Linked DNA regions of Rattus norvegicus. The protein of the gene in region 2 purifies or fractionates together with the protein of the main gene of each other region. This does not show direct contact. Links are inferred from orthologs where the notes say so. Each region holds a gene or a part of one and is shown on either strand. Other genes may lie near its edges.

The links. The genes of interacting proteins can lie anywhere in the genome.
Region 1: the proteins of Cd151 (region 2) and Itga6 purify together in Homo sapiens (co-immunoprecipitation; 3 studies listed by BioGRID and IntAct, with this or other methods). This does not show direct contact. The link is inferred for Rattus norvegicus from reciprocal best matches to the Homo sapiens genes CD151 and ITGA6.
Region 3: the proteins of Cd151 (region 2) and Itga3 purify together in Homo sapiens (co-immunoprecipitation; 4 studies listed by BioGRID and IntAct, with this or other methods). This does not show direct contact. The link is inferred for Rattus norvegicus from reciprocal best matches to the Homo sapiens genes CD151 and ITGA3.

The regions. Positions count from the first base shown.
Region 1 is NC_086021.1:77,077,203-77,080,702, reverse strand, and holds part of Itga6 (integrin alpha-6 precursor), read right to left. Parts: intron 2,166-3,500; coding exon 2,005-2,165; intron 1,868-2,004; coding exon 1,724-1,867; intron 1-1,723. UniProt on the Homo sapiens protein: Integrin alpha-6/beta-1 (ITGA6:ITGB1) is a receptor for laminin on platelets. Integrin alpha-6/beta-1 (ITGA6:ITGB1) is present in oocytes and is involved in sperm-egg fusion.
Region 2 is NC_086019.1:205,992,952-205,997,099, reverse strand, and holds the start of Cd151 (CD151 antigen), read right to left. Parts: upstream 2,801-4,148; 5' UTR 2,755-2,800; intron 2,426-2,754; exon of another isoform or gene 2,157-2,425; intron 1,787-2,156; 5' UTR 1,657-1,786; intron 969-1,656; 5' UTR 962-968; coding exon 878-961; intron 759-877; coding exon 567-758; intron 278-566; coding exon 203-277; intron 100-202; coding exon 1-99. Other genes in the region: Cracr2b (EF-hand calcium-binding domain-containing protein 4A), read right to left, coding at 3,800-3,977. UniProt on the Homo sapiens protein: Structural component of specialized membrane microdomains known as tetraspanin-enriched microdomains (TERMs), which act as platforms for receptor clustering and signaling.
Region 3 is NC_086028.1:80,494,902-80,498,401, forward strand, and holds part of Itga3 (integrin alpha-3), read right to left. Parts: intron 3,341-3,500; coding exon 3,238-3,340; intron 3,077-3,237; coding exon 2,894-3,076; intron 2,714-2,893; coding exon 2,591-2,713; intron 1,932-2,590; coding exon 1,818-1,931; intron 627-1,817; coding exon 528-626; intron 1-527.

The DNA of each region.
Region 1 (3,500 bases), on a different chromosome or scaffold from region 2:
AAGCCTCGGGGAATCTGAGTTCCAAACCCACCTCTGACACCTGCTGGGCTGTGTGGCTTTAGACACTTTTCATTCTGGCTTGATCAGATCATGGTCTCACGTAGGGGAGCCCTTGAAGGGGAGCTGTTTCAGTATCACGGCCCTATGCTCCCTGAAGTGAGCTATATATTTTAACTCATTTAACCGTCACAACATTCTACAGAGACCCTATCCTTCTGAGCCCATTGTACAGATGAGGAAAACCTAATTAGGAACAAGTTCTCCTCTTCCTGTTATGTTTAACTTGGCTCAGGAGCTGGAATTGTGCACAAGAACTAGTAACACAGTAACAGTGTTTCACATCACAAGACACGAAGGGTAGAAAAACATGACTAATCCTAACTGGTGACCAAACAACCAACAAAGGGTAGCGTTAGATTGAAAGCAGTGAGTTCTTTTTCAAAGCTAAGGGTAAGGAACTGTACCGGGGCCTCAGTTACCATTTCAGCAGTAGCTGGATTTTTGTTGTTGTTGTTGTTGTTTCGGTTTGGTTTTGGTTTTTATGAAGACAGTGTGTCAGGTAGCCTAGGCAGGCCTTAAAGTTGCTATATAGTCAAAGATGGCCCTGAATTTCTGGTCCTCCTGTCTCTACCTCCCAAGTGTGGGCATTACAGGCATGGACCACCTTGCCATTTTTATGTGGTGCTGGGGATGAAGTCAAGGCTTTGTGCCAGGCAAGCACTCTACCCACTCAGCCACATCTGCATTCACCAACTGGATCTTGACAGCTAGCACGTGGTGTCACAGCAAACGTGCTAAGCATTTGGGAGGCCCTGGGTATAATTCCCAGCACCAAGACAGTGACCAAGATGATGCTAGTAATAGCCAGGCTGTGGAGGCACACGCCTTTAATCCCAGTACTCAGGAGGAGGAAGAGGAAGGTGGGTCTGAGTTCGAGGCCAGCCTGGTCTACAGAGCAAGTTCTAGGACAGCCAGGGCTACACAGAGAAATCCTGTCTCAAAACAAAATAAAAAGATGATGACGACGATGACAACAACAACAGCAGTAATAACAACAACAATGCCGGATCAAGATGTCATACTTCACTAGGCTCATTTCTACTCTGTCCTAGCGCACACATCCCATATCATACGACATATCCAGCAGGCCACGGAATACACGTTCCTATAATGACTAAGCTGCATTAGACACTGAAGTATTTCGTTGTGATTGGGTTTTTTTGCTTTGCTAAGTTTTACTCTATTCCTTAATTTTAATAATAGACACGTATCATACTGTGTTGTTCTCAGTAGAATAAAGTATGTCAACTACAGGAGAATGAAGTTTGGTTAATTATAGTCTCGGTAAGTACCAGGGACCAAAAACAATGAAGAAAACAATGAAGAAAAAGAAATCTGATCCCCAAAACCCATCTTAGGTTTTTAATCTTCACTGCCAATTTGAGAGACAACTTCTCAGAGGCCAATTATGTGCATAGAAATAAGAAGAAGTGTTTTTGTTGATTATTTTTTCTTAAGGTCTCACCTTGCACCCTGGTTGGTCTGAAATTTGCTGTGTAAATCACACTGACCTTGACCTCACAGAGATCCTCCAGCCTCTGCCTCCGAGTGCTGGGATTAAAAGCACACACACGGCCACCACACCTGGCCATACATACCTGCCACAGGAAGTGGCCTGCAAAACAAACCCAACACTGGCAAAAGAGAAAGCCAAGAAGCTCACATCTGTCTGCACTGTTTTGGCTTCATTTGAATTCAAGATGGGAAGAACTTCTGGAAGTGAATTCACCCGCCGTCGAGAGCTGGGCTCCTGGATCTCCACAGAAGCCGTGATGGGGATGGGGCGCAGCTTGTCTCTGATGTTTTCCTGCAAAGGGCGCAGTGACACAGTCAGTGTGCTCAAATGCGAACGGACCTCCAAAACGATGTCAGCGCAGAGATGAAGGTTCAGAAACCAAGCGTCCCCCAGGACACCCGAGCCCTGGTCGGGTGCCACACACTCACCTGCAGCCAGAGCGTCTCCTCCATGCATGCCCGCTGCTTCTGCCTGTTCAGGGTCAGCTCCTGAGTATACTTTGGCTCAGAACCTTGGTTTCGAAACTGAACTCTTGACGACAACCCTGACTTTCTTCTTTCTTTTTCAGCTTCAAGAATACCCAAAATTGCTAGGTTGGGATGAACAAAATGGTGTTAGCTTAAAGGGCATCTACGCACCCCCTGAGCAACAGATAACGAGTTCTTTTACAGCGCTCCGCCCCATAACCTTTGCTTCTCAGAATTTGGGGACCTTTGAGGTGTTTAATCCAACTTGTTTCTTCCCAACGCTGTTACTATTTTAAAGTTAAATTCTCACTGGACCACCTGGGGGAGCTCAAGAACAAGCTAGAACCTTCTTCTGCTGAAGCTAGGAACCAATCACTTTCTGGCTGAATTTCAGGAACTCAAAGAGTACTAAAGATAACTGGAAATAGCCAATGTTCCTGCCTCAGGACTCTTTCAGCCTGTCCTCCACGACCTTAGGTCTTTGCTATTTGAAAAGGTGTCTGAGAAAGCAGGCTCCTACAAGCTGAGCTGGTTGGTATTTGCATTTTACAGAGACACCTGGGAACAAAGGGAAGGACTGCCATGAAATCACAGCTAGCTTCAGCTACAGTGTGAGTCTGTCTGGAAAAACAGATAGAAAGGTGGATAGATAGATAGATGAATAGAGAGATAGACAGACAGAGAGACAGACAATAGACGGATGATAGATGACAGACAGATGATAGATAGACAGATGGACAGACAGACAAATTGGACTGACATTTCTTTCAGTAGCTGGAAGCCAGGTGTTTAGCATAACCCAGCTTTCATACGTAAGTCTGTAGCCTGCAGCAGAGGTGGCTGGCTGCTCAGTGCCTCGGATTATGCAGCTTGGAGGCAGGCCAGATCTGGCCGTCAGAAGCTCACTTCTGGACTCTGGAATGCATTCCTCACTGGGTCACTGGATGAGGCTACTAATTATGCTTCTCATGGGCCAATACTTCAATCACTTACATTCATTAAGCACTTGCTAAAACCATCAGAGGAGAGAAAGCGCAGGAGCGTGCACAGGAGCGTGCGCAGGAGCGTGCACAGGAGCGTGCACAGGAGGTCAGGCACAGCAAACAGCCTCCAGGAAAAACTCTGTTCCAGAAAATGGAGACAGCAAGCATTCTACCATTCATGCTAGGGTGAAAGAGATCTTGTTGAGGGTTTGTTGCTTGTTTGAGACAGATTTCATGTAGCCCTGGTTGCCCGGAACCATTTCTCCTTCCTGCACATCCTGGGTGCTAGAGTTACAGGCATGCACCATCGCACCTGGTTTTATACAGTGCTGGAGTCGAACCGATGCTAGAGTTACAACAGGACTCTGTGCACACTAGGCAAGCACTCTACTAAGGGAGCTACCTACACTCCTGCCCATGAGGCTGTGTGTGAATGTCCTCTTCGTAAGCATCGGAACGGAAGTTCAAAACCAT
Region 2 (4,148 bases):
CTGCAGCTTGTCTACAGCGTTGGTCACACCCTCATGGCCTGACTGGTGGTATCTCTTGATCATGGTGTCCTTCAGATTCTCCTTGAGCTCGGTGTTGAGCTGTGGGTAGGATTAAACTCGTAAGGGCAAAGCTGGTCAAGACCTCCAGTGGGACTGACAGCCTCGTTCCGGACATTACCCTGTGGCCTGTTCAGGCCCTTACCTGCTGATAGTAGACATAGGCCAGGATGCCAGCAATGATCTCCAGAAGGAAGATGATGAGGAGCAGGATGAAGTACTAGGGAACAGGGACCCAGTAAGTGGGGGGTTCCTAGTGCCAAAGCACCACAAAGCCAAGCCCCCAACCCAAGAGGCCAAGCAAGAGGAATGTGGATAGGAATTACACTCTGGGCTGCCTAGCTCCTTGATACTTCTCTGGAAGCTGGTGTCTGCCCCAGTGAGTTCAACAGGGACAGCCTACAGGAATACACTCAACAAGTCAGGCCCCCAGAACCAGTACCAGAGACCCCTGAGAAATCCATGTCAGGCATCCCTAGCCCCACCAGGTGCCACCAGGCCCTGCTGACCAAGCGTAACAGGTTCCGTCGCTCCTTGAAAGTGGCACAGCAGCCCAGGACTCCAGTCACCATGACAACAACACCAGCCACCACTAAGATGTAGGCTGTTGCTAGGTAGGTGCTTGAAGCCAGCAGACTAATGTAGTCACTCTTGAGGGCCAGTGTCCAAATGCCCACTGCCATGACGGCCAGGCCAGCCAGCTGCGGAAAGTATATAGTGGTCACCACATGAGGCCTGGGTCTGGAAGCTGGGACTGAGCTCCTAGGCCAGGCCTCCAACATGGGGAATAGGGATGCAGGGAGAATGTAGCTCTTCTCACCCAGAAGCAGCAGTTGTAGGTGAACAGCAGATACTTGAGGCAGACTGTGCCACATGTTGCCTTCTTCTCGTTGAATTCCCCCATCCTGGGCCTGGAGAAATGGGGAGGAGGTCAGATGGCCTGAAGCACCAGGCCTCCAACTAAGAAGAAAGCTATACACCGATGAAGACAGAGAGGATGCAGCAGTCCCCAGATGCTTGCAGAGTTTGGAGTCCGGCCAGCTATCTGCCTTAAGAGGAGCCTTCCCAGGAACCATATGTGAGTCACTTCCTGGACTAACCCCTCACGGCCAGACACACATGTTGGGTTATCATGGAGGACCCCCAAAACATCTGCTGACTCACTCCTGCTGGCAACTAGGGGAAGCTCCAGCAGGCCTTCAGGGTACATTCCTGTGGATAGACACCCTCAAGCATTTCCTGAGCCCCACGATCAGGCTGATAGGTACTTACAACTCATACCCATCCCCAGAGATGGCAGAGAAGCAGCGAGTTCAGGCCACCCTCAGGTACACTGTGAGGACTCTGAGCCTCTTTACCGCCAGCCGACTTTACCACCAGCCAGGGCAGAGACAATAAAATGCCGGTAGGTGGAGCCTGTGCAATCTGCTCCCCAGTTCCACAGATGTGCATGTGCCGTCCTCCAGGGGTCCCCTAGACACACTAGCATCTGAGGACAGTGTACAAACCTCAGCTGAGCCAGGCCAGGCTCCCAGACAGGCACCTAAACAGAACTTTTAGCCGGCTACCTTAAGGATCTGCCCAAGCCCCAGCACTCACCTCTGGAAGTCAGGACCAGCAGGTACAGGTCAAAGTCACTGATCTGCCCGCCCTTCACCTGGCAGGTGGGATCTTGCCACTCCTATGGTGTCTGAAGCAGTAATCAGAATGATTCTCAGAGCCACCAGATCTGCAAGGAAGCATAACAGCCAAGCCTACTGTTCTCTACTGGACGGCAGTAGGCCAGAGAACATTGCTGGCCTGCCTGATCTAGGGAGGAACAAATGCCTTCTCCAGGTGCCCCGCCCTCCAGGCTCATCCATCACATTCCCTCCCCACCAAACAGCAGCGACTGCAAACTGAAGGAGGATGCATCAACCGTCCACTTCTGGAAGTGGGAGAGATTTCAGACCTCCAATCGGAGATGGGACCCAAAAATACATGCTGCCTCACTGGATGCGGGCAATGACATAAACAGAAGCTTGGCTAGCCACAATGCAAACCCCGGGGCTAGGCTCTAAAAGCCCAGAACCTATGGGGAGCTGGTTCTCTCGACATACCCAGCAACCTAAGCCAAGGCACAATCAGCAGACTGAATGTAAATTCCCTGAGAAAGTGTCCGCGTGGGAGCCGGGACCAGCCAGAAATAGCTCCTGCGGCCAGGACACTACCTCCCTACACTCAGCTCCAGTACCTCCCCTGAGCCCTCCATGGCACCGGGCACCCGCCCCACCGACGGGATGAAATACTGAAGTCGGCTGGGCGAGGAATCCCCGCGTCACAGAGATGAAGTCACCACCGTCCCTGCCGCCCGCCTCCGCCCCGTGCCAGTGGGCGGACCTGCGGTCTCAGGGGAGGGAACCGGTGTCCAGGGACAATGAATAGGGTGATCAGACTTTAACTTTCCGGGTTTCTCCACGAAAGAGACCGCCAGGCCTGCCCAAGAACCACAGAGGCTCTCTTCCTTACCCCTCCCCCTTCCCGCCGCGCTTCTAGCTGCCCTGCCCCGGCGTCGATCTTCCGGAAAGGAGCCTGCAGCCCTGTCCTACGGGCTCTGCCTCCTGGGTGGCCCCGAGGCCAGCCACGGAGACTAGGAACACCAGTAAGCAAGGAACTCAGGACACTGCTCCCCATACCCTTCGGCTTCGGAGCACTCACCAACCACGCTTTGAAATACCAGCCCCGGCAGCCACTGTAGGAGCGCTCATTCGGAGTACAGAGAATGCTCGGCCCGGGGCCTGCGAGGACACGCCCCGCGCGCGACCCCGCCCCAGGCGCAGCCCCGCCCACGGCCGGCTGGGGCAGGCAAGTCCTAACTGGTTTGGTGCTAAGGCGCAAGGGAGAGACCTGGAGATCTGCCCTGTGGGTCTGTAAAGTTAGCTTGAGGGCACCCGTTCTTATCAAAACCTCGGACTCATCCAGAAATAGAGGAGCTAGGCTGGAGAAAGAACCCAGGTGGGGAGCGAAGAGGTGGGGAAGGTGGCACTAGAGGCCCAGAACTGAGGTCAAGACCAATTTCTTCTCCAGTCTAAGCCGGGAGAACAACTCTGAAGCTGCAGGTTCTAGCGGTTGAGGAAATGCCAGAGGGGGAGCTCCAGATCGAGTGTGGAGGGTTCTGAAAGGTCCCACAGAGACATAAGGGCCCTGCGAGAGGAACCCAGTGTGGATTGCATATGGTCTGTCTAGGAACTGTGCCAGAAGGATGATGGTCTGGACCAGAGCGCTAGTTGACCTCACGGAAGTGAGGGGCGGGACCTTCCATTTGAGGACCAGCACCCGGGAGTTTACACCTGTTGAAACCTGAGTCCTTGGATCTTCAGCTGTGAGGGATGGTGAGGGCTTGGTGAACCACAGAACATACACAAGCACAAGGGGACCCACAGGGGCAGGAACGACTGGGTAATGTGCACCTGTAAATCTCTCCGTGTTACCCAGTGCACGAACCACAAATGCACTGTAGCTCCCAAACACACAAAAACCAAGGAATGCACAGTATACAGTGGCCTTTATTGGTCCTTTAGACAAAGATTAAGGAAGACAGGATAAAGACTGAAGACCTGACCACTCTGAGGGTTAGTTCCTTCAGGCATGGGATGCTTTCTGGGTAGAGCTACATACTTAGCAAGCAACCGCCACCCAAGACCAATCCCCTCCTAAGAATAGTCCTCTGGATAAGGAAGTGAGTCATTTGGTGGCTGGCTGGTCATCGGGCACTAGGAAGATGGCCAGAGCCTCGTCTGGGGGGCCGAGCCCAGCCACAACAACAGCAGCAGTAGATAGGTCCCGGCTTGTGGGCGATAGCTAGAGCCTTCCTGTGGCTACTGCCCAGCAGCTTAGTCTCACAGGCATCTCTCTCATCTCGAAGCCTCAGATTCAGCTCCCTAGAAAAGAGAGGTAAGAGACCGAGGAGACTAAGATCTAGAGGGAAAAGTGTGTGGGGGAGATGCTTTCCCTGAGTCCAGAGGACTAGAGAGCCTGCAGCCTGAAGGCTACAGGGCAGACGTAAGGACTTCCAGCAACATGGGTAGGAGTCAATAATATTTGGAAACTTG
Region 3 (3,500 bases), on a different chromosome or scaffold from region 2:
TTTGTCTACGTTGGCTGGCCGGCCAGCCCCCAGCATCCCCTGCCTTCAGTGACCTATAGCTGAAGTTATGTGCATGGGCCAACCTGCCCAGCTCTTTTTTTTTTTTAATTATTTATTTCATGTATGTGCATACACTGTCACTCTCTCCAGACACACCAGAAGACCCCATTACAGATGGTTGTGAGCCATCATGTGGTTGCTGGGAATTGAACTCAGGCCCTCTAGAAGAGCAGTCAGTGCTCTTAACCACTGAGCCGTCTCTCCAGCCCAGTGCCCAGCTTTTACCTGGGTGCTTCAGCGCTAAGGATCCAAATTCAGGTTTTCACACTAGTTGAGCAAGGCCTTTGCCTGCTGAGACATCTCCCCAGCCCCTCACTTTTAGTTTTGAGGCAGAATATCAGTAAGTTGCCCAGGTTGGCCTTGAATTCACCGTAGCCTAAGCAGACCTGGAACTTAACGATTCTCCCAGGAAACTAAGGTAGCAGGCCTCCAGTATCAGGACCAGCATCATTTTAACACCTACTCACCCATGTGGTCTTATTCTCCATGTTGATGGTAGGGATACTGGTTCTCAGGAACAGGGTAGCCCAGCCATCTACTCGGACTCTGTCAAAGTCTTTGTAGTCCTACCAAGAAGATAGAGGGGTCAGAACTAGCAGCTGACGTCTCTCTTGGTCTCCCCCTTGACTCTACACTCTCTACCCTCTTCAGTGCCCCACCAGGCGGCACTCTCAAAGGATCTGTCATCCAGCCTCTCTCACACACAAATGTATCCCATTCATCCCTCTGCACTGCGCTCTGTGCTGATGCCAGACTAGCAGACACAGGGAAGGGCACAGTTTAGGTCAGGCTCGTGGGCTAAATCTACTCTGCACCTGTTTCTGGTACATAGCCATGCCCCTTCATTTACCTAAGGTGGCTTTTGTAGTCCAGCGTTGGAGCCTGAGCAGATATGACAGGAACCAATCTTATAGGCCAGAAAGATTGATAGTCTAGTCTCAAGAAAAGGTTAGACTACATACCAAGAAAGGGCGGGTATAAGAATAACCATAATAGGGGCTGGAGAGATGGCTCAGTGGTTAAGAGCACTGGCTGCTCTTCCAGAGGTCCTGAGTTCAAATCCCAGCAACCACATGGTGGTTCACAACCATCCATAAAGGGATTTGATGTTCTCTTCTGGTGTGTCTGAAGACAGTGACAGTGTACTTATATATAACAAATAAATAAATCTTTTTTAAAAAAATTAAAAAAGGACTGGGGCTTTAGCTCAGTGGTAGAGCACTTGCCTAGGAAGCACAAGGCCCTGAGTTTGGTCCTCAGCTCCAGGGGAAAAAAAAAAGAGTACCCATAATCTATCCAAGCAGGACAGGTGACCCAGATAACTTCCAGGAAAGACATGTCTTATTGAGAGGAGAGGACTCCAGCTTCTGAAGTTAGCTAGGATCTCAATGATTAGAAGTGAAGGTTGCTGGAGACCTTGATAGCTTAATAGGGAAGTCACACATAGAGATAGAAAAAAAAAAAAAGCTGGCATTACAGTGTGGGGGGGGGGAGCAAGGGCAAAGGCACAGGGATAGAATGTAAAGGACACATAGAAGGTCATTTTGGAATTATTACACATTCACACACGTGACATGCAACCACAACACTGATGTGGAAATATTACACATTCACATCCAGACACGCAACTGTGCAGAACATGATACTGTTTTATATACATGCACATTTGCACTCACACACACCCTGCCTTCAATCCCTCCCTGCCACTCTCCTCACCCAAGTGAATAGCAATGAAGGCCTCCAAACCCAGCACTGACCTCAATGAAGGTGCTGTTCCACACCCGTGCCTTCACGGTCACATTGGTAATGTTGGAGGCATCTGGAAGGGGGCACTCCAGCCACACACAGCGGGCGCGGCCATTGGAACAGGTCTGAGGTGGACAGGAGGACAGACAGGAGACAGCCTGAGTCTCTAGACATGACACTGGCTCCTTACCTTCTCCCTCCTAGACTTCGTCCCAGCCTGGGGTTCATTGTTTTGCTCATGGGTATTCCTCTACGTTAGGAACACGCATTCAAGCTGCATTCTCGGGCCAAACTCCTCTGATTCAGGGAACACATGAAGCATAGGCCCTGCTCAGACTGGCAAGGAGCAGCCTCAGAAACCTCTCCCAAGCCAAGCACGCTGAGTGTCGTCTGCTGTCTTGGGATACCCCTTCAACCTCTCCAGCCAGTAAGGCCTCCCCCGGGTCCCCATATGTTCTCCTCAACTTCTTCCTGCACTCTGCCCTAAACATCCTCTAGCCCCTCCCCACACCAAATGTCCAAGCTACACCCAACAGGGTGTGAGGCCTTGGAAGTGCCAGCATTCTTCTTTGGGACCACTGTGTTGGATGTGCCCTAGGGTTGGTGGTTAAGTTTGTTTTTTTGTCAGGAGACTCTTGAGGCCCAGATGTACAGTACCTCTCTCTCTAGTGTCTCTGTGTCTCTGTGTGAGTGGTCACTATCACTCTTGCCTGTGGGCCCCTGATGTCCATGTGCCTTGTGATGGCCTGTGCAGTCCCTCCCCACCTTTGCCCTGGCCACTCACCAACACGGTCTCAGACTTGGCTTTTTTGGCAGCAGCTAGCGTGACAGGTGGAGGACCCTGGTCTCCCCCTGGATCTAGTTGTCTCCGCCGGCGCTGTGGGGACAGTGGCTTGACTCCAGGGTCCTAGAGAGGGCAGAGATATGTTGGGAAGTCAGAGAGAGAGAATAGTTGATGGGAGATAGGGAAGGGACAGGGAATAGTCAGGTTCCTAAAGACCACCAAGGTGGCCAGGGAAGACACTGGCCTTTCTGCCTCCGCCATGCAAATGAGACATGCATGGACCATCCCTGATGATGGACTTACAGAGAGAGTAAGGTTGAGAGGGTTGACAAGGTTTCCATGTGGCTGGCAGGGCCAGGACCCATTGCTGTGGATGGTGATCTCCGTAGGGTACAGCAGCCACTTGCCATTGGTAACTTCATACGGCCACTCCAGACCTAGAACCAGTGTGCCCAAGGCTGCCAGCCCGTCTCCCACTGGGCTCACCTGTGGGCACACATGACCTGAGTGTCATGGTTACCATCCTTTGGAAAACCACCCACAGCTCAACAACCCTAAAACCTTCCATGTTTGAACCCCAGATACGGGACAGTCTCCCCACGGTCTTTCAGAAGAGTCGACAGCCAGGGCCCCAGAGGCGCCCTTACCTGGAATTCATATTTCAGGGGGCTTCCCACATCCTTCACAGTCTTCATGGCAGCCTCGCCCATCACTGTCCCACTAAAGAAGCTCTGCAGTCGATGATTCATCCTGGGTAAGAAGACACCCCAGGTCAAAGCAGACAGGAGGCCAGAGCCCTGCCGGAGGGGACTGCAGTGTATTACCCACAGTTCCCCTGGCACATAAACCCCAGTTCTACCGTGCACCAGCTATGCAGGCTCGCACAGTCTACCCATCCTTCCTGAGCCTC